5 linked regions of the Daphnia pulex genome follow. The protein of the gene in region 4 purifies or fractionates together with the protein of the main gene of each other region. This does not show direct contact. Links are inferred from orthologs where the notes say so. Each region holds a gene or a part of one and is shown on either strand. Other genes may lie near its edges. The genes, in order: PHD finger protein 12-like, protein kinase C-binding protein 1-like, mortality factor 4-like protein 1, lysine-specific demethylase lid-like and GATA zinc finger domain-containing protein 1-like.

Region 1 (4,247 bases), on a different chromosome or scaffold from region 4:
CGAACGTAGACAAGTTCAAATCCATGTCAGCACCTAACGCACAGAAATGTTTTAAAGAATAAAACCGATAATTCAACTATAGTTATGGAAGGGCAAATAATACCAGTGCCAATAGTAAGTCGGCGATAGTAGATGGGTGCTGGTGGATAAGCTGAGCTAAGAGGGCAGAGGAATGCTCTAGGCTGTCGTGGGAAGACATTCGTCTGGGCTTGACTACTGTCTATTGAATCGATAAGAGGGGAAGATAGAAAGTTGTTGATCCATTCGAGACTGTAATTCGTACAGATAATGTTACCACTGTCGGAAGCACTGCTGGCCTGAAGCCAAGGTTGTGGAATGACTGTAGACTGAGTGCTGCAACCAGAAGACATCATTCCAGGAAGAGGGAACACAGTCAACGAGCGAGATTCTGGGTTCAGGATTAGCTGCTGCACTCTTTGCATGGCAAGAGCTCTCACTGTTTCTTGATCCATTGCCCTTAGCAAATCATCTAGAAAATAAAAAGTTAAAAAAGTCATAATCCCGTTCTATTGCGGAGGAAAAAGTATTGAAAATTACTCGATAGCTGCTCCATAAAGACTTTCAAGTGACTCTCTTTCATGCCCCGCCTCAGGGTTCCCAAATAACTTTTGACATCTGCTTCGATATCTTGAAACTCTTCAGCAAACAAACCATCCCAAGAAGAGCTGAACATAAAAGACATTTCTGAATATTGAATAATCTGATGCGTTTTTAATTTGTGAACCACTCACGAGCTCGATCCTTCCACAGACTCTTTATCTCTCCGTTCAGGTAACGCAGTATCAAATTTTCCGACAGTCTCGCCTTCGTTTGAAAACATTGCTTCGCAGTCTGCTGCTATTTGCTGAGCATCCTCCTGAAGTCGTGATTGTTCTCTATCTTTGTTTTCCTCGTCTATTAATTCATTTTTATCGAATGATTTCAAATTCTGGAATTCGACGAAATGGTTAACAAATTAAAAGGGGAAGTCCAGATTTTGAAAGGAAAATGGACATACCTTCCGTGTTTCTGGGAGAACGGACGACCAGTAAAATGGTTGAGCTCCATTTAAACGCGCCGGAAGTAACGGTGGATGTTTGTACTGGTCCTTGATGATTTGTGGGACCTGCAAAATGCTTCGTTAGTTATTTTCGAAGATAAGAGTAGCATCTCTAACACTTACCCTCATACGAGGACGACCAGGTAGTGCGACCTTCCGACGAAAAGGCGGATTTTTTCGGTTTACTTTGCGGAGGAAATTGATTTTTACAGTTTCATGGTCAATGGGTCTCTGTAAGAACGACCAAAACTTCACTCGTTCGGAAAGTCGTGAATCAGGCAACAATTTATATTCCTAGTGATAAAGAATTCAACATTTCTGTGAGATAAACGGAAAATTCCTTTAAAAGGCAAAATATTACAATATTTTGAGGGTGATTGGGGCACATCCACTTGCCAACTGGCATGCAAACAAGGGGAGGATCCAGACAATCCAGATGGAAAACCAGGGGGCAAAAGTCACAGGCAACCATTGGCGCCTTGCGGCAACTCCTAAGAATTCGAAAGATGAATTTGATGATGTAACTATATTGAAACAGAAACCTGATTCAATCATACTTGCTGCAGTAGAAGCACGCTCGTAACGGTAATGGCACGAGCCCGTTATCAAGTTCGTGTGATTTTTTTTTGGGGCCAGATCCGGTTTTTTTCGAAATACACAATTTACTGGTACCTAGAAAATGGCAAGTTAATTAACTTGTTAATCAATTTTATCTAATATTGGTTTTAGCTTACCTGGAAAAGGAATAGGTTCTACAAGTTCTGGTGGGAGTTCGAATTGCTGTGGGTTCATAGATGCTGCTACTCTGATGAGAGGGGCAAAAAATGAGACTTTGCCCATATTATCAACAATGACGTCTTCTCTATCACTGGACTTTTCTGAACTAACTCCAGTGGTTTCTACATCAACATCATCCGAGTTGTTTGTTCGACGGCGACCAGATATTCTTTCAGGGGCTCCCTGACCACTGCCTACTGATTGAGTTGCTGAGTTATAAGGTCTTTTTCCAGTTTTACTGGAATCAGAGTCTGCTCCGTCATCCACCTCTATGAAATTTGTAAGAGGATTTGCAGCATCTTGGGCCTGAAAACAAATGTTTTGTTGGTCAATTGTTTTCTTTTAACTCTACACAAGTTTAAAATTACCTTTTTCATACGACAACTGTGACAGTTCCACAAACCTTTGGGTAAATCCGACTCCTCTAATGGAGGATCACTGAAACAGTGAAAACAGAATAATGTAAATATTAGAAATAAATTTGAATTGATGGTATTATTTTACTGGCATTGTAGGTGAAAAGATGCTGGGCAAGAGTCACAGCAAATGAGTTCACCTCCCTCTTTACAAGCATCACAACTATCGCGATTATGACCTCGTCCTGGTCGTCTGTAGTAGGGATGCAACGCCAATCCGTCTTTTCTCTTTTCTTTTGAAATATCTTCCAACAAAGGTGGTGCTAGTAGAGCTTGAATTTGCTGCATAAACAAAACACCGATCTTAGTCGACATCCATAAATGAGCATACAGCCGATTAAAGAGTGAACTTACTGGCATTAATCCACCCGATAGATCGAGATCATATTGAGAATTGGCCATTGCGTACAAGAAAATGTAATTATAATCTCACTAAATCCTAATGTTTCTATGCGAGCATCTTCTAAAGATGAAAACGACAGCAAGAATCAAGAAACAACAAAACTTTAAGTGTCGATTTGACTCGATGCTAAACAACATCTTTCAATCTGAGTTCCAAGAACCTAGCGGCAGCCAACAGAAGCTCAACATGCGAACCGGCGTTCCGTTTAAAAATCGAAATTTGCGGGCAAATGATCAGCCGAAGGCGACGACTTAAAAAATAATTGACAGTCGTTAGGCCTATTCTGTGTCATTTCAGAATTCAGATTTTAGTCATGAGTTATGTGTCGATTTTTAGATTTGACATCTCAAAGCTACTCGTGCCGTACAGTTATACAGTCACCGGCAGCCACAAGGCTCTAATTGTAAAGAAATGGCGAATTCATTGAAGTGTCTCATCCAGTATTTAGAACAAACTATTTCACCAGGTAATAAACAATGCAACTTAATATCTTTTCATTGTTGATATCACAATCTTACATTGCATATTACTTGTCTGCGGGGCTTTTTTGCAAAGTTTCTTGACTCAACATGTTACGACACTCCTACATATCATATTGCAGCTATAATATCACTTTCATTTTAAATCTTAAATTAATAAAGATGTATCATTTTCAGACAAGAATGTATTGGCCGAAACCCAATTGGCGTTGGAAAAGTATGCTCAGGATGATATGGTTAGTTTCAATAAAACAAATCTCAGTTTATTAGTACACCACATAATTATCTGTTACTGTTCTTTGTATTTTCATACTTATAGGGTCAATTTATTTCAAATATGTCAGTTGTAATTGCTGATCCAAACAACTCACCTATTGCTCGTCAAGCTGCTGGTCTCCAACTGAAAAACTGTTTGACTGTTAAAGATGTGACCCTGAAGAAAGAGTGTCTACAGAGATGGTCAAAACTTGAAGAAGAAACTCGCATGGCCGTGGTTGAGCGTTTGATTTCGACCTTGGGAACAGAAAACATTCATCCAAGTTGTGCCGCCCAATGTTTGGCTTACATTGCGGTAGCTGAAAGTCTCTTCCCGGGAACACTACAGCCTTCTTCTGAGATAACTTCTCTGGAGGATTTGCTTTCTGAGCTTTGCGACGTGGTCGTTCAACCAGCAAATGAACATCGAAAAGAGGCAGCCTTAGAGGCCATCGCCTTCATTTGTCAAGAAATTGTGAGTTAACTGGTTAATAACACATTTTTGAATGCTCTTAATGTTATTTGTCTTAGCACGTGCTCATTTTGGTCAACTCTTACACGTCAATCCTCCATTCCATACTATTTTGTATGGAGGACAGCAAATCAACTACAAGAATTCGTCTGGCAGCTGCTCGAGCTCTACTGAGTTCTCTGGAATGCATTTACCCGACATTTGACACTGAGGTATTGGGCTCAATTGCTTTTGTATTTTGTTTTTGAAAATTTTTGATACAAAATATTGAATTATTTATAAATAGGAAGGTCGAGATGCGATCATGCAAGTTGTCTGCGACGGCACACAATCGTCTAGCGTTGAAGAATCTCTGATTTGGCTACAAGTATTGGTAAAGATTGGC
Region 2 (4,249 bases), on a different chromosome or scaffold from region 4:
AGGAATAAGTTGTTGTAATTGCTCGTCCTCCTTATTTGGGTTGTAAGCCGTACGTGGCGAGGGGTAAGCGAAAGAACCGTAGCGCTCAACAAGCTTTTTGATGTGTTGGTCAACTTCTTCAACTGAAGCAATCAAATTTGCTTTGCGCTGATTTTTTAACTGCATAGGCATTTCGCGGCTGCAAACAAACAAACATTGACATTAATTTTTTTTTGCAAAAAGATAAACCTTGTTCTTGTTTTACCTGTACAAAAAACAATCTTTGGCGGGCACCCAAGCTCGATCGTGTGCACCGAAAAAGCGCACGTCCACATTGCCTTCTTTATTTGCTTTCATCGCTTTAGCCGGCCAATGAGGAAACCCCTGGGGAAAACAACAAATCATTAAATAATTTTTGTTTTGCTCATTGGACGTGCCTATCAAGCCACTTAAAACACTTAAAACTAGATTTGTGAGAATGACTTGAGATGAAATTTACTTTGAGTTTGGCCCAGAGCAGTAAATGAGGCCTTTGACACGGTTCCAGGAACCAGGTTTCTCGTTTGGTGTGAGCATGCACATAGCAATCGGCACAAGTATCAATCTCAGCCATTTCATGTTTACACACCTGCAATTGGGAAATTTGATTTGGTTAAGATTTTGAAATAAATCATATTAAACCTTAAAATACCTTCATCAACGTTCTTGCCGTGCTAGTCAATTTTGAGTGAGACGAATTAAAGATTATGCAATTGTGCAAGATCCAGCGGAAATCAGCCAGGAAAGCTCTAGTGGAAGTGTAAGATCTTTGAACAATCTTCTCCTCCAGCTGGCTGATATCCACCGGACTAACAATATACTCGGTGTAGTGCGGGAATTCTTCCGTGTCAACAGGTTTAAAGAAAGGTTGCGCGTCAGCCACCGACTTGATTCGCTCCATAGCGAAGTTGAGCATTTCAGTTAACTGGTCCATCTCGAGATGGTTATGTTTTTCGGCATTGCGAACAGAGCAACATTCCGTACATGTCCAATCAGTCGGAATTGGGGACTGAAGTTGAACGCATCGTTGATGAAACACACGCGGGCACTGTCTGCATTCCAATACCTAATCAGAAACTTCATTTTAATCCATCACAGAAACGTTGGGACTTTTTTCTCATTACCTGGCCATCCATATGACACACCCAGCAAAAAGTGTCATGGCGCGTAAATGTCTTGCTTTGCAATTCCATGAAATGGCTACCAACTTTGGTCGATGGGGTACTTGCTGTTGATGGAGTGCTTGTTATTGATCTAAAGTTTGCAAAAGTGCTACAGTTAGTTACAAATGCTTCGTAACGCCAGCTTCATTTTTTAGTTACTTTTTGTTTCTTTTCTCTTGAATTGGAGAACTATGAGGAGAATGCACGGCATCTGTCCCTCCTGTATCCTCCCATTTGCGCTTTGTGGCTTGTGTTTCCACTTTAACCTGTTCAACTTCGCTAGTTGCACTTCGAACATACGAGTCCATAGAGCTTTTGACAGCAATTTGGTATTTATGCATGAAAGACCTGTAAGAGAAATGGATCTCCAATATATGGCTTTAAAAAACAAGTTCAGATTTCCTTACTTTTGCTTTGCGATTATGTCAGGATTGATCTGTGATCGCGTGGTACGTCCTGCGGAAAGTGACACGTCGTTTGGAGATGGGCTGATGGGTAATTTAGTCCTGCTGGATCTTCTTAGAGCTGCTGATGGAGTTCCTTGCAGTTTAATGCTAGATGCAAAATTTAAAAAGAATTTTTTGAAATTGTTGCCATGTGGAACCCTTGAGAAGGAATAATGTATAGACTTAATTTTTGTATTTACTTTTGGTTTTGGTCTCCTTTGTCAGTAAGACTCTGTAAATCATCTTCTAACTGTTCATTTTCAACTACACCTGAGAGACTGTCCACATTCTTGCCTTCCTGCTTCATTATTGAACCATGGCTAAGAATGAGTCCTGGAGGTGCTTCCTCATCTGATGTTTCTCCAGTAGTACCATCATCCTTTGTAGCTGTTTGAATCCCAGCACCATCTGAGTCTAAAAGTTCTGGCATTTCTTCATCCTCTTCATCCACATCTTCATCTACGTCTTCATCTTCATCCTCCTCAGAATCTTCAGCTATAAAAAGACTTTGTACTTCATCATCATCAATCTGGCTCTGTTCATCACCATTTAGTTGGGGAGTGCCATCCCTAGGTGAAAGAGTGTCGAAGTTTTCACATGCAGTGGCCACATTATCTGCAGGCTCACTGTTTTCACTGTTCAGTTTTCTGGACATTAAACCAACATCCTCCATGACTCTATCACTGGAAGGTTCATTGATGACATCAGCAGTCGCAGCGTTATCCATTCCGGGCAGGCAGCACAGTTTTTCCCTTGTCCCCTTGATATCTGCAATTAGTGATTCCAAATAAATATGTTATTGCGAAACGGAAAATGAACGTAGAATTTAGCAAGCATACCACTGAGGACTGACCTTCCTGTGCTTCGTAGAAACACCGCTAGAGCAGGCGGAATCCGGAGAGGATTTTTCAATCAAACAAGCTCCGCCCACAGGCTATCTATATTTCGGTCCAGTGATGATGCTACAAACAAGAAGAATGTTACAAATTAAAAAGCATCATCAATAATGGTGTCGTGAAAACAAACCCACTCTATAAAAAGGTGTCACGAATCTTGAACCACTTCAGAAGCATGCGATATATTTCAGCTCAGGGTTTCGCCAGAATTATTTTACACACACACACACACACACAGTCACACACACAAGACACACCGGCGGTGTATATAGCAAACAACGTTGTCAATTGGGGATATGAAAAATATTTTTTTTTTCTGCTTTTCACGACACCAATGTTTACGTTTTTACGCTCACTTGGTATGAAGTGAAACGATAATTCACTGTCAGGATGAAAATAATTTCCAAAATACTGTAAATTTTAAGCGAATGCTGTATTTTTAACCTCATTTAGTCTTTATCGATCAATTGCGCGCGCAACTCGTTTCTGAAATCGTCCAGCTGGAGATTGTGACAGGTGAAGAAATCCTTACAATACAAGGTTTGTGGAAAATTATTAGGTTTCATTAAACCGATTTATGGATTGTCTCTTTCTGAAGGCTGAGCTGTGAAAATGGAGTTTGCACATCTCATCAAGTCACCAAGGGTAGAAAAGGTTTTGGTCCACCGCCCACTTCACAAATCTGTTGAAGGGGTGCTATGTATAACTGGGCACCACCTCATTTTCTCTGCTGGAGGAGAAAATCCTGATGAATTTTGGGTATACCAATTTTATTAAGTTTTTTGTAAATTACCTTCACATTGTTTTTTTTTTCATTTTTACAGCTGATTCATAGAATCATAGATTTAGTGGAAAGAAAACCCAACACACCTCCAGCTGCAGGAGGCACTCTTACACTCAAGTGCAAAGATTTTTCTGTTATCAGTTTTGATTTCAATAATACAGAAGAACTGATGAATGTTTCAGCTTCATTGGAGTGCTTATCATCCATAGGTATTTATTACAGATCGGTGCTTATAAGCCTACATCTTCTAAAACCACCTGCTAATAGATCATAATTTTTTTACCACAGAGAATCAGTCTCTTTATTATCCTTTCTTCTATCAGCCAGTTTACACTGCAATAGAAGATGGTTGGACAGCATTTAGGCCAGAAACTGAATTTTCCAAACTAGTCATGCAACAACAGGAAGACTGGAGGATTTCTTATGTCAATAAGGATTATTCAATCTGCTCGTCTTATCCATCTGCTGTTGTAGTTCCCAAGTCGGTCGATGATGACGTCTTAATAGCTGCTGCATCGTTTCGAGTTGGAGGGAGATTTCCAGTTCTCTCATACAGGCATGAAGGAGGAGTAAGTTGCCATTTAATCATAAATATGCTGCAATATTTTTATTTCTTTTTCTTTTTATTCAGGCTGTGATGATGAGAAGTAGTCAGCCTCATTCGGGACCAAATGTTAAGCGTTGTCGTGAGGATGAAAAACTTCTTAACAGTGTGTTGAAACCAGGGATGCGGGGTTACATTATTGATACCCGCCACCAGAGCACAACACCGACCCCCAAAGTATAATATCATTCTTTCAATCTAAAAATCTTGTCTAAATATCTAAAATTTCGTTCCAAAGTCTAAAGGTTCAGGTGGTTTTGAGACCGAATCTCACTACCCTCAATGGCGTCGCATTCATAAACCCATTGAAAGACTGCAGTCTTTACTTGAATCGCTAT
Region 3 (3,841 bases), on a different chromosome or scaffold from region 4:
GGATGAGGGTATTATCACCCTCGTCTTCGCTGCATCCGCCCAGTCACCGAAAAATGAAAAAAGATAGACGCAAAGACCCAAAAATCTACACGACACACTCATCTCACGAGCGTTTTGTTTTCTCTTCTCGGTCACGAACAGCTCGGCTATCATTTCAATGTTTGGGTTTAAATGACCAGCAGATAGTAAATACTGAGCGAGGAAGACGGGGTACACATAGTTGGACCGTGACGATGTGTTGTTCCCATCTCAAAAGCCCACTTTCACTGCACACACGAGTTTTGTCTATGCCAATTTGAGAGAGGATCACTACCAAAATCTAGCCGAAAATCTCTAGACACACACTCCATTCCGAGCGGATGTCGAGCCCAATGAAGGAAATAATACACGACGATTGTTCTCGACTCCCTATCCGACAAACAGGACAATTAATTGCTTGTCTAAAAACAGACCAGCTGGGTCAAAGAGATTGGCGTCATCGGTAGAATTCGCAGAACCGTAAAAAAAACCGCGTAACAATTGAATGTATTACGTTTACACGATGGCAAGTCACTGTGTTACACATGAGGCTTAAAAAAAAAAACTTTTTTCTTTCTTTATTTTTAAAGTTTACCAGATTTCAAATCGGCTCGTTTATATGTGTGAGACATTGGAAAGAAAAAAATATTTCCGACGAAAAAAAAATGAAAAAAGATACACTGACGTGGTATTTCAGCAAGCGCGGCGGTGATATTCAGCCGATGCGTTGCCATAATCCTGAGCACTGAACAGCGTCGAAGCGTTGCGTCCCATGTATCTGTCGTGATCACAGCTGCCGATGTAAATCAACGTCTTTAAATAAAATGTTTCTTTCGTTTTCAGACTTACTTTAAAAAATCTTGGAGGTGAACGTGGAGCAGTTGGATCGACTTTTCATCAAGTGGGGTATACGCCAGCATACTTCCTAGCCGGGCTGTACGATAATGTTTATTTTAAATATGTTAAATGGTGGTTTGAAATCAATTGAAACTTACTGAACATGCGTAAAAGATGGGGGGCTCCATAAATTTGGCTCATCATTTTGTCAGGGTGATTCTTCAAAATCTATAGCCATATAAAGAATCAACGTATGAACGTATAGTATATCACTGTGAATTTCACTTCATGACTTACATCAGCATATTGTAATCTCTCAAATTTATACAGCAACGAAGAACCGAGCGTTACATTGAAATATTCTTTCAAGCCGGCCATGACCTCCTGAATGGCACTCTCTCTAAAAATGGAGGAATTAAAGGAAAGAAATAAATAAAAAAAAAGTTTCTCCACTTGGTTTAGCAAATACACACAATGTATGTATGCTATTGGTATTCATTTTGCTAGCAGTAACAGCGGAATTGCGACATACTTGCTTGGGGTGGTCGTCCGGTTGCTGCTTTTGTGCTTGATGTAATCTTCTAGAATGGTGTCAACGGGCACTTTGGATGGTAAGTTCGCCAACTGTTGCGTAATTGGATGAAATGAGTTTTTGGTGACTCAGTGAAATATTGCTGGAAAGATAATATCTTTAACGTTTCAAATCACGTACTTTTTTCTGGCGGTTAATATAGTCCCAGTCATCAACAAGCCAGGGTTTCAACTCATCTGGAATCTTTATTTTCACTTCAACCTTGGATAAAAACTGTTCTTCCTATAAGTAAATGGTTTTTTAATGCTACATTGTTGAAAAGATTTAGAAAGTGTATGTGAAATCTCACTGATTCAACAGTAGAGTCAGGTCTGGTCTTCTTTCTTGAGCTTTCAGAAGATGATGCTGTACCAGCAGTGGTGGTAGAAGGTGTTGTTGTCGTAGAGGCTGTGGCAGGTCTTTTGGTGGGTTTTTCTGTTGGAATATAAGCAATTTTTATGTTATTTTTCGTAACACTGATCTTGACTGATTTCAAGGAAAGACAAATAGTCTGACAATGGCATCATGTGTACCACTTTTGACAAGGTACCTTGAAGTGATGGTGTAGAAGATCTACTATCTGTTTCTTTGCCTGATGTATTAGCATCTGACAGGTTGCCTCCACCTTTAGATGATTCTGATCTTCGGCCTGGAGGTTTGCCAACAGGGGTAGAAACACCTTTGATTTGTTTCTTTCCTTTCCTGTTCCAAAGAAATTGAAAAACCAAATAAGATGATCAATCAGCCTTAGTCGTTGATGAAAGTCAATAGTTACGATGTAGCTTCATGAGCTTTGAGGAGTTCTTTCTGTTTTTGAAGAGCTTGGTCATTGTACTTCAGCACACGGTTTTCAGGCACCCACTCATCCCAACTGTATAAACAGCAGAGGAAAATGTTATGGAAGTTTCATCAATATAAATTTCACTTTGATTTTACTTTTTATTCCAGCCAGCATAATGTATCAAGTATTTGTTCTGTTGATCCTTGAATTCTGCTTTGAGGCTTTTGGCTTCATATAAAAGCGGACCGTGAAAACAAAGAACTCGTTCCCCTATTATTTTGTTTAATCGTTTAAATTTAGTTATCCAAAGATATATTTGACTAATAAAACAAACCTTCTTTAAATTTGAATTCTGTTGCTGGCTTCTGTTGAGCTTTGGGACCCATTTTTGTTCAAAGCAGACGCTACAACTTGCTAGTTGCTACGTCACGTGACCTAGCGTTGGTGCACGTTTCATTAAAAGAACGTCAGAACGCCAAAATGCAATTTTTAAAAAGAAAAAAAAATCGAAGCACATTTTTTTTTTTTAATAGCAGCTGACAAATATTTGATAGCCACAATCAATTTTATTCAAACTCAGACGTAGAGATCCATGTTTACTGTTTTTTCCCAAGCTTTTCTATAGATTTCTACTCATGATGGGAGCAAACACAAAATTTAATGTTTGGAATCTCACATGATCACATAAGTAGGTGAAGTCGCGACGCCACAATTATTTTCTTTTTGTGACATCAAAACATACCCAGAATTTCCCCAATAAGTCGACCACGAATTTTTTACCAACCAGTATGGCTCGCCTTTTAGAATTCCATACCCTACAGCTAAAACAGCGTGGTCCAAGCTGTCTTCTCCGCTGCCTACAGTTTAAAAAAGTAATTCAAGGATGAGTGTGATGGTGCCACAGATTTCAAAGAAAGAAAGTATTCTTTTAGAAAAGGTAATTGCATGATATTATTACGAGATTTTAAAAATTATTACCGCATTCAGGATTGTAGTAAACTCCGTTGGCGTAAAAAGAAAATGCACGATGCGCAGCATCTATTTTAATAGTTTCGATAAAGAAAATTATTACCACCTGACTTCACTACAACTCCTCCGCGTTTTATTACCGATAGCAACGGAGATTGGGCCATACTTAAAGATGGCAACACGCAACGCATCGACGTCTCCTGATGTTACATTAACATAGCCTTTAATGGAGGCTACGAGAGTCGCATTGTCTACATGGCAATAACCATCAGCACCCAAGTAAGGTCCATAACTCTCCTCTGAAGGAATACCTCCGTGCTTCATCATCCACTGGTATACTCGGAAATCTTCACCACCTTTAATTGACGAACAATTATGCGAAGAAATGGTAAAATTTAAAACAAAGAACAACTTTAGAAGAAAAAGTGAAAATATATTCAAATGAAATAACATACCGTCGCAACCGTTATTGCCAAAACCCCAACTGCAATCAACAAGAGCCTAAAACAAACATATTCCCATCATTAATTTCATTGAAACAAAATATTTGATGTTAATTTACCTGTTGTGAGAGTGGAGTCAGTTTACCCGTTTTGAGGAAGAGGGCTCCTTCAAGAGTTCCTACAGTTCCAAAACTCCAACACGAACCACACACACTTTGGTCT
Region 4 (4,310 bases):
TGAGCTTAAAAACGAAATGAGCAACTGAAAAAATGAGAAATTTCTTAATGACGGTAGTATATTTACTGAATTTCTCGACTAAACACAATATACTTAAATTGTCGCTACGCTGACATTGATCAGATAAGGATACAGACAAAATAAAACGAAATACTTATTTGCGGACGAAATCGGAATCCCGGCGGAATCGTGATTAATTAATTTTTAAAGCAAGCCTCGGCCAAAATATAATAGTGAAAAGATTTGAATGATACTTTTTCTCGATGGACATTTATACAACATTGGTCAGTTGGAGATTTTGTATGCGTTCTGGGGTTATGTATAAATCATACCACGTCAGAGTGAAGAATGTGACAAGGAGTGAAAAGATAATGCGGCGGTTAGTTTTGTCCTAATTTTGCTCATCCTTGTCAATGTCATCATCGCCTGCAGGAGGGTTTTTAACAGCACATCGTCGACAAATATAATCTTCATTGGCCTTGACGTCTCTTGCTTGTAATCCGACACATCTGGAAAATAAAACAACACTTGTAGATCCTTAGCCACCAATAAGAACCAAATAAAAATAGTAATACCTCAAATGGAACCACATTTCACAGCCTCCATCACATTGCACCCAAATGACTTCCTTACCTGCAGGCTATGTTAAAAACAAAACATTAATTCTACTGAACGAAAGCGCACAATTTTCAGAAATACCTTCAGGCATTGATCGGCCGCACAATCTTCGTCGTTTTCACTTTCATTGTTTGATTGCCTTTTCTTCCCATCCGATTTCTTCATCATTCTTGGTTTCTTATTTCCTTTCATCGTTTTCGAGTTCTTGTTGCCTTTGGGACCCTTAAAACAAAAGAGAAAATATTAAAATAACACTCACAAACGAATTTGTCAACATCCGACGACTTACTCTTGGCGTCTGTTTATCCCCTGGCGGATCCAACTTTCTCTTCTTGCCTTGCATTTTCTTTTTGCTGAAGGAATCTCCATTGGATTCACAATCCTGTTCTTCATCTTTGGAGTACAGAAGAGCCATCACAGGAGGTTCTGAGGGAGCCTTGATAGCCTGTGAAGAATGAAAACAAATTATGTCACACAACTGTTGAATTACTTTGGGAAGAATTCTAATACCTGAAGAATCCTTCCTATATGGATCGTTTCGTCGAGCGACACTTCGAGTGAATCACCCTCGAGGATGAGATCTTCGAGTTTCGCAGCAGTTTGAGAGGACAGAGTTATGAGAGGAACATTCTGTGAACATGATGATGAATTGTTTGATGGCGAAGTCCACACGGAAGAGTTTAGCTGTCGAGGAACTAACGGAGATTTGCGTACATTCTTCTTGTTAGAAGTCATACAACCTGAGCCATCTGATTTTTCCAAATTACAACAAAATTTAGTTAAAAACGTAAAATTATCTTGTCGATTGTTCGACGTGTTTTTACCTCTGGAAAAAGAAGAATACGCATGCTCTGAGTTGCTAAGCGCTGGAGGTTGTTCGACAACTTCTGGAATACTGTCTCTAGCCGTACATTCGCTGTCCTGTGACTCTTCGCTGCCACTGAAGAAATCGCGGTGCTCTCCGCTCACCGACAATTTTTGAAGCTCATTTGATCCAGTCTTACCATCCATTTTCTTCCGAGAAGTAGCGTCAGTAGCACGTTGCAACATGGTAGATAATTGAGACAGACATGCTGTTAACTCTTCAGTAGATAGCAGCTGACGAGCTCGATCCTGAGTAAAACAAGAATACAAATTCGGGTTACATTTTTGAAGTGATGATTATAACAATGTAATAACACACCTGCCAGTTCATGGCCCTCTCGGTGAGACACTGAAGAGCTTCACCCTCGGGTAATCGAACAGGAAGTTTTTGTAAAGACACCAGCAACGAGAGGATCGTTTCTAGACGAGGCCGTCTCGAACGACAACAATAGCCACAGAGGTAACGGCCATCTTTGATTCCGCTAATCGCATTGCCTTCACCATTTGTCTTGTTTTTGGCCCCTGGACCTTGTTGCTTCGCTCCCCTTAAACACGAAAGATGGAACCATTCTTTGCAGAGTGCGCATTCGATCATGCCTCCCTGGGCTTTGCCTTGGCAAATACAGTAATGAGCAAGGCCCTGATCATCATGTACTTTTTTCTAAAAGGCAAAACATAAAATTAGTTTACGATAATGTCAAAGTGAATTAGGATATTTACTTGAATGTTTTGAACTCGGATACGCTTGAAGCTAGTTAATTCGTTGTTTTCACTCTCTTTGAAAGCTTCAACGATCAGTCGAGGATCTTCCTTCTTCTCTGCCTCGAGGGTGATTACGTGAGTAACGTTGATTGGGTTGAAGGGATCTTCTTTGGGTCGACGGCGTCGGAAACGTGAAGCAACTAATTTTGAAAATTGCCTTAGTAAAACAGAAAAAGTATTCAATGATTCTGAAAAAATCCATACCTAATACGTCGAGTTTCGGGGAAAGGACTTCGATCAGGGAATAATATGAGTTCTTTCGTAAAAATGTTTTAGCAGTTCTTTCGCGCCAAGCGTGAGCGGCGGCGATCTGATTTTCGAGTTCGTCGAGCGAATCCAGTCTTATCGCAATCGGTTTGGCTTTGGACATCAAGCTTTCAAGCGCCTCAAGATAAGGGCTGTACTCCAACTTCTGTAAAACCTCTAGACGGCTGTTCCAGTCACGAGCTTTCTTAGCAGCTTCCTTTAAGGCAGCGACCGAAGGCAGGTAAGTTGGCAATAAAGCCACTTCTTTGATGATCATATCAGCAGAAGAAAGTGGTAGCCTAGGCCTAGATTTAGACACAAAAATCAATAACATAAGAATTCGAAAAGGAATTAATTAAAATTTTCCTAATTCATACTTTGCCTGCAAAAAAATGTTCGCCTTATCTTCGATCTTTTCTGACATTTCGAGCAATCCTTGTAGCTTTGCTAGAGATTTTTCCAACACCGGATGAGGAGGTAGACCGACGCCAAGTTCGAGCAGCTCACGCAAAGAGTCTAGAGAAACCTCTTCTGCTTCGTCTTCTTCAGTAGCATCGCGATCAGCGGAAGGAATGACTTCGGGATCCCAAATTGGATTTGTCCCGAGTAAATCACGGTACTTTTCGATCCATTCAGCCTGCTGAATTCGCTGTAAACATTCCCAAATGATCAATTAAGTAACTCATAAATAAATCGATAAAACAAGACTGCATTTTGAAAATCGTAACCCTTACCGTTCAATATTCCAATCAGAATGATAGATAAATAAAAAGCAAAGAAGCAAAATTGTAAACAGTTCTTATAGAGAATATGAAAGTTAATGCTAGTAGGACGATCAAACTTACCAGTTTCAAGCGGCCAATTTCAGGTAGATCGATTCCAAAAGTAGCTCCACGTTCGAGACTCTTTTGCAAAACTTCGAGGTCTGGAATAGATTGGTTTTCATCGATGGGTTCAAGAAGAAGCCTAACTTCTTTTTGAAACTCGGAAACATTTTTGAAAAGTTCTGCATAAAACAGAGGGAAAAATTTGAGCAAAGTTTCAGGATGGAAATTAGATAAACAGTTTGTGCTTATACCACAAATGGCTTCGGATTCGGGTAGCTTGCAAGGAAGTTTTTTAAGTTGTTGAACAAACAACTGTAACTCCTCTAGAGTTAGACGACATTTTGCCTCTCCCTGGAGTCGAGTACGCGTACGCACTTTGCTACTCATAAGCTGTTGGGCCACCATAGTGCATTTTTCTGCACTTTCCACTGCTTCCCGAAGTGACAATACTAATTCGGTGCCGGGGAATTTCTGTTCATCCGCATCCGACAGCAGAGCTTTTAAAACCGCTAGTTCTGAAAAGTTTAAAATTATTTGAAGACGCGTTACAAACCAAATGCTAGCAAGTTTAACTTACCAACTCTATCGTCTTCTTGTCCTTTTAAAGCTTCACGTAATTTCGCAGCCCAGCTATTAAAACTGTCTACTTTTCCTTGGATTTTCAGGAGAAGACCTTGCAACTCGTCCATCGTGTAACGGTAGCGAAGCGTGTGCTTCTGGGGCGGGCACTCGCACAAAAGTTTAATGTGCCTCAGACAGACAAGTTTGTCTTCGACGCAGCTACATGTCAACGCCGATAGGAAACAGGTTGTTTTACAATGATCGCATTGGCGCTCGTCATCTGGCAATAGTTCGAATGCTTCTCTTTCCGAATCCTGTAAAAAAAAAAGATCCATCTTTACCTTCATCAATAGATTGCTAACCATTAATTTGTCAGACCTTAACTCCCCAAGCCAGGAGATTTTTTCGCAACCCCTTTTCACTTTCAACCAT
Region 5 (3,110 bases), about 2.3 Mb from region 4:
ATTTACTGAGATGGCAAATAGTTGAGGATTGCGCTGGGACTTGGTACTTAAAACAGAGCCGTTGTATACTTTCGATTGCATTGAAGCCTGGCACTAAACGATGGAGCCCCAATCCAATAATTTTCGTAGATAATCCTGTGACACAAAGTTTAAGCGATTCTTCAAACGGAGGATAGGTTTCTGTTCCAACCAGAAGAACAGCATCGATCTCTGGATAATAATCGGCCAAACTGCTGTCTATTTCAACTCTAATAATGCTAAAGAAATATAAAATAGGAATTTTGCTGAAAAAAGAAGCTAAACACTCAGTTCTACCTAGTCAGAAACTGTAGATGATGAGGTTCAGCAGAAAATATCTGTGAATGCTTCAGAGACTTTTTCATATGATTTTCATGAAACAATTTCCAATTTCCTTGGCCATCACCAGCCCACAGTCGTCTCACACAACCAGAGTTATATGTTTCATATACATTTACACAGTATGGATAGACAGGTTTTTGAAACAGGATATCTACATTTAAAGTATGTCAAAAAAGTCCCTAATTGTAAAATGAATGAATTACCAACAAAATCCTGTCCTGTTATGAGAACTTCAGTTTTTCCTTTAGAAGGTGAAATTACTAATGTTTCTTTCCACCATGGCCCATATGTTCTCTGAAGAACAAATGTTTTTTTTTTTAAATAGACCTTCCTCTACATAGTCTTCAGAATATGCTTTTTATTTCACACTTGCACTAATAATTTTAATAAAAAAGTACCGGGACGTAGGTTTCAGGAAAATCTCCATATGCCGGATATCGAGAAGGAGGACCGATTAAATTGTTGGCTGTGTAAGACACTCCATTTATACTTCCATACTGTGAAGTGTAGTATGTCACCTTGCTGGCATACTGCTCTATGAAAATGAGGCCTTCACTATTTCCTAATAAAATCATATAAAATTGATTTAAATGTAGGAAAAAAAATGTTAACACATTTCATTCTCACCCAACATGAATCGTTCAAAATGTCTATCACAGATCAAATTTGGGGGATTTACAAAATATGATTCGGGGAGTCCAAAATACAAATATCTAGCAGAAGAATGGTTTTGTTTACAAACGGAAAATTCATTTTGAGCGCCAGCTAGCGTCTAGTTCTCTAGTAGTGATTTACCATCCAATCGATGGTAAATTTAAATTTTACTAAGACTTTGATTCATCACACCCAATTTTTATTTAAAAATTTAATTTTGCATTCAATGTTTAAACTATTTTTATATAAAATTACACAAGTTAGAAATTGCAATGTTGTAGATTGTTGTCCACAACTTAAGTAAAAGTCTTCTGCTTTGTAAATAAAAAGTGAAACAATTTTTGGGAGACTCGTTTTCGGTGCTAGTGCTATTTCAAGTAATAGATTTTGTTATTAACCTTAACCATGCCATTTGGAATAAAACCTGTTTGTTTTAAATGCGATATCAATATATCAGAGATATGGCAAAAAAACAACGAAGGAAATACAGTTTGCAGCGAATGCTTTCAAGGGAAATTGACAACAACCGTGAAAACAGAATCTATTGTTATAGAAAAGGCGCCTTCACCAGAAATAAAATTTCAAGAAGAAGATGCTTATAATGAAACTATTGAAGTGGATGATGTTGTTGTGGATGAACTTGTGGATGATATAAAGCCACGTAATGAATTTGGCCCAGGGACCAGGTCAGGAAACACAACTTCAAACAGTAGAGGTGGACGCACAGGAACAAAAAAGACACGTGGAAGAAGCAAGAAACTAGGAACTGCCAATAAAGCAACAGTTGGCAAAGGACGTGGAAGAAGAGCTGTTTTCAAGAAACAGGTTAAACAAATCCATAAATTTGATAGAAAAATTAAATAGATTTTTCCAATAACTTTTTATAAATTATTCCTTTTTAAATTTTAGCTACCATCTAAAGCCCCCACTGTTGCTTCTACCTCTTTTACTAGTGGGCATTTGTTTCATCATGACATTTATTATCAAGTGGGGGACATAGTTTCAGTCACAGATGAAGATGATGGAGTTTATTATGCACAAATTCGTGGGCTTCTGCAAGACCAATTTTGTGAAAAAAGTGCTGTATTAACTTGGCTCATCCCAACTCAAAGTTCACCACCCCCAGATGTGGGATTTGATCCACAGACATATATTTTAGGTATGTGAATTTTATATTTTTTTTTCTGTACAGCATTAAAACAGTCTTGGTTTAGGTCCTGAAGAAGAATTGCCACGTAAGCTGGATTATCTTGATTTCGTAATGCATGCGCCGAACGAATATTACAAACTGGATGAAAATGTTCGAGTGTCTAGTGAAAAAGAAGCTGGCTATATTTGGACAAGTATGGGTGCCGTACGAAGAACTATTCATTCATGAAAAATTCCACCAGGATCATCCGTTTATAGTAGAATAGAAAGACCAAGGCAGCCGGCTCTTTTGTTCTTTGTGTCTTTTAATGCCATTACAGATTCGTTTGTAAAACAATTCCATCATTTCTGAAGTTTGTAACTAAAAATATTTGTCACATGTTCTGCTACCTCACTGAAATTCGGAGGAAGAGTAAATTAAATTGTTTGATCTGTTTTAAGTGTTCTTTTCTAAATTTTTAAGAGTTTTCACAATTTTAGTAAGATATTTTCGAAAATTACATGTCGGAAATTATAGAAGATTTTTTTACCTGCTTGCACGGCTTTCTTAAAAATAATACTTGACCATTCCTGCATTACGGCTTGCCTTGCGGGTAACAATGTTTTTAGAAATTATTTTGTGCTGAAATTTTGAGCTGAAATATTTTCTAGTCTACCGGTAAAAATGTTTCGATTATAGTGGTAATAAACAGTTCATTTAAAATATAATGATATTTAAAAATAATATCGATAATGTTAATGAGTTTTTCAAACTTGTATAAGTTGTATGGGTTTTTATTCATTCATAATACTAGCGTCATTCGAACTAATAGACAATTATAACTTGAAATCACCAGCGGGAATTTGTTATTTTAATTTGAGTTTTAATTCAAAACCTTAAAAAAGTTTAAAAGAACTATAACAAATTCGAAATCGTATAGTAGGTTCGTCAAATACATCCATTTTGT

Evidence for each region.
Region 1: the proteins of lysine-specific demethylase lid-like (region 4) and PHD finger protein 12-like purify together in Homo sapiens (affinity purification with mass spectrometry; 3 studies listed by BioGRID and IntAct, with this or other methods). This does not show direct contact. The link is inferred for Daphnia pulex from reciprocal best matches to the Homo sapiens genes KDM5A and PHF12.
Region 2: the proteins of lysine-specific demethylase lid-like (region 4) and protein kinase C-binding protein 1-like purify together in Homo sapiens (affinity purification with mass spectrometry; 3 studies listed by BioGRID and IntAct, with this or other methods). This does not show direct contact. The link is inferred for Daphnia pulex from reciprocal best matches to the Homo sapiens genes KDM5A and ZMYND8.
Region 3: the proteins of lysine-specific demethylase lid-like (region 4) and mortality factor 4-like protein 1 purify together in Homo sapiens (affinity purification with mass spectrometry; 5 studies listed by BioGRID and IntAct, counting the BioPlex papers as one, with this or other methods). This does not show direct contact. The link is inferred for Daphnia pulex from reciprocal best matches to the Homo sapiens genes KDM5A and MORF4L1.
Region 5: the proteins of lysine-specific demethylase lid-like (region 4) and GATA zinc finger domain-containing protein 1-like purify together in Homo sapiens (affinity purification with mass spectrometry; 6 studies listed by BioGRID and IntAct, with this or other methods). This does not show direct contact. The link is inferred for Daphnia pulex from reciprocal best matches to the Homo sapiens genes KDM5A and GATAD1.

Annotation. Positions count from the first base shown.
Region 1 is NC_060017.1:4,333,154-4,337,400, forward strand, and holds the start of PHD finger protein 12-like, read right to left. Parts: upstream 2,805-4,247; 5' UTR 2,656-2,804; coding exon 2,608-2,655; intron 2,536-2,607; coding exon 2,342-2,535; intron 2,276-2,341; coding exon 2,206-2,275; intron 2,144-2,205; coding exon 1,795-2,143; intron 1,733-1,794; coding exon 1,618-1,732; intron 1,552-1,617; coding exon 1,422-1,551; intron 1,355-1,421; coding exon 1,184-1,354; intron 1,127-1,183; coding exon 1,019-1,126; intron 950-1,018; coding exon 753-949; intron 687-752; coding exon 559-686; intron 491-558; coding exon 284-490; intron 221-283; coding exon 104-220; intron 34-103; coding exon 1-33. Other genes in the region: importin subunit beta-1-like, read left to right, coding at 3,068-3,122, 3,313-3,371, 3,455-3,865, 3,922-4,074, 4,149-4,247.
Region 2 is NC_060028.1:7,382,736-7,386,984, reverse strand, and holds the start of protein kinase C-binding protein 1-like, read right to left. Parts: upstream 2,810-4,249; 5' UTR 2,658-2,809; intron 2,590-2,657; 5' UTR 2,467-2,589; intron 2,396-2,466; 5' UTR 2,355-2,395; coding exon 1,828-2,354; intron 1,736-1,827; coding exon 1,589-1,735; intron 1,530-1,588; coding exon 1,341-1,529; intron 1,273-1,340; coding exon 1,143-1,272; intron 1,085-1,142; coding exon 671-1,084; intron 608-670; coding exon 479-607; intron 364-478; coding exon 245-363; intron 179-244; coding exon 1-178. Other genes in the region: myotubularin-related protein 9-like, read left to right, coding at 3,136-3,282, 3,348-3,516, 3,596-3,876, 3,939-4,088, 4,150-4,249. UniProt on the Homo sapiens protein: Chromatin reader that recognizes dual histone modifications such as histone H3.1 dimethylated at 'Lys-36' and histone H4 acetylated at 'Lys-16' (H3.1K36me2-H4K16ac) and histone H3 methylated at 'Lys-4' and histone H4 acetylated at 'Lys-14' (H3K4me1-H3K14ac).
Region 3 is NC_060018.1:5,689,440-5,693,280, reverse strand, and holds mortality factor 4-like protein 1, read right to left. Parts: upstream 2,686-3,841; 5' UTR 2,594-2,685; coding exon 2,542-2,593; intron 2,478-2,541; coding exon 2,363-2,477; intron 2,298-2,362; coding exon 2,202-2,297; intron 2,129-2,201; coding exon 1,977-2,128; intron 1,862-1,976; coding exon 1,737-1,861; intron 1,670-1,736; coding exon 1,568-1,669; intron 1,480-1,567; coding exon 1,388-1,479; intron 1,256-1,387; coding exon 1,153-1,255; intron 1,084-1,152; coding exon 1,014-1,083; intron 953-1,013; coding exon 868-952; intron 797-867; coding exon 712-796; 3' UTR 509-711; downstream 1-508. Other genes in the region: digestive cysteine proteinase 1-like, read right to left, coding at 2,880-3,064, 3,186-3,245, 3,317-3,532, 3,632-3,677, 3,739-3,839. UniProt on the Homo sapiens protein: Component of the NuA4 histone acetyltransferase (HAT) complex which is involved in transcriptional activation of select genes principally by acetylation of nucleosomal histones H4 and H2A.
Region 4 is NC_060026.1:13,806,931-13,811,240, forward strand, and holds the end of lysine-specific demethylase lid-like, read right to left. Parts: coding exon 4,257-4,310; intron 4,193-4,256; coding exon 3,895-4,192; intron 3,833-3,894; coding exon 3,569-3,832; intron 3,497-3,568; coding exon 3,336-3,496; intron 3,140-3,335; coding exon 2,868-3,139; intron 2,796-2,867; coding exon 2,449-2,795; intron 2,385-2,448; coding exon 2,203-2,384; intron 2,144-2,202; coding exon 1,802-2,143; intron 1,732-1,801; coding exon 1,443-1,731; intron 1,368-1,442; coding exon 1,129-1,367; intron 1,064-1,128; coding exon 908-1,063; intron 841-907; coding exon 700-840; intron 641-699; coding exon 576-640; intron 510-575; coding exon 392-509; 3' UTR 41-391; downstream 1-40. UniProt on the Homo sapiens protein: Histone demethylase that specifically demethylates 'Lys-4' of histone H3, thereby playing a central role in histone code. Does not demethylate histone H3 'Lys-9', H3 'Lys-27', H3 'Lys-36', H3 'Lys-79' or H4 'Lys-20'.
Region 5 is NC_060026.1:11,475,884-11,478,993, forward strand, and holds GATA zinc finger domain-containing protein 1-like, read left to right. Parts: upstream 1-1,302; 5' UTR 1,303-1,419; coding exon 1,420-1,839; intron 1,840-1,923; coding exon 1,924-2,173; intron 2,174-2,228; coding exon 2,229-2,392; 3' UTR 2,393-2,603; downstream 2,604-3,110. Other genes in the region: F-box/LRR-repeat protein 4-like, read right to left, coding at 1-257, 316-511, 564-693, 759-922, 988-994. UniProt on the Homo sapiens protein: Component of some chromatin complex recruited to chromatin sites methylated 'Lys-4' of histone H3 (H3K4me), with a preference for trimethylated form (H3K4me3).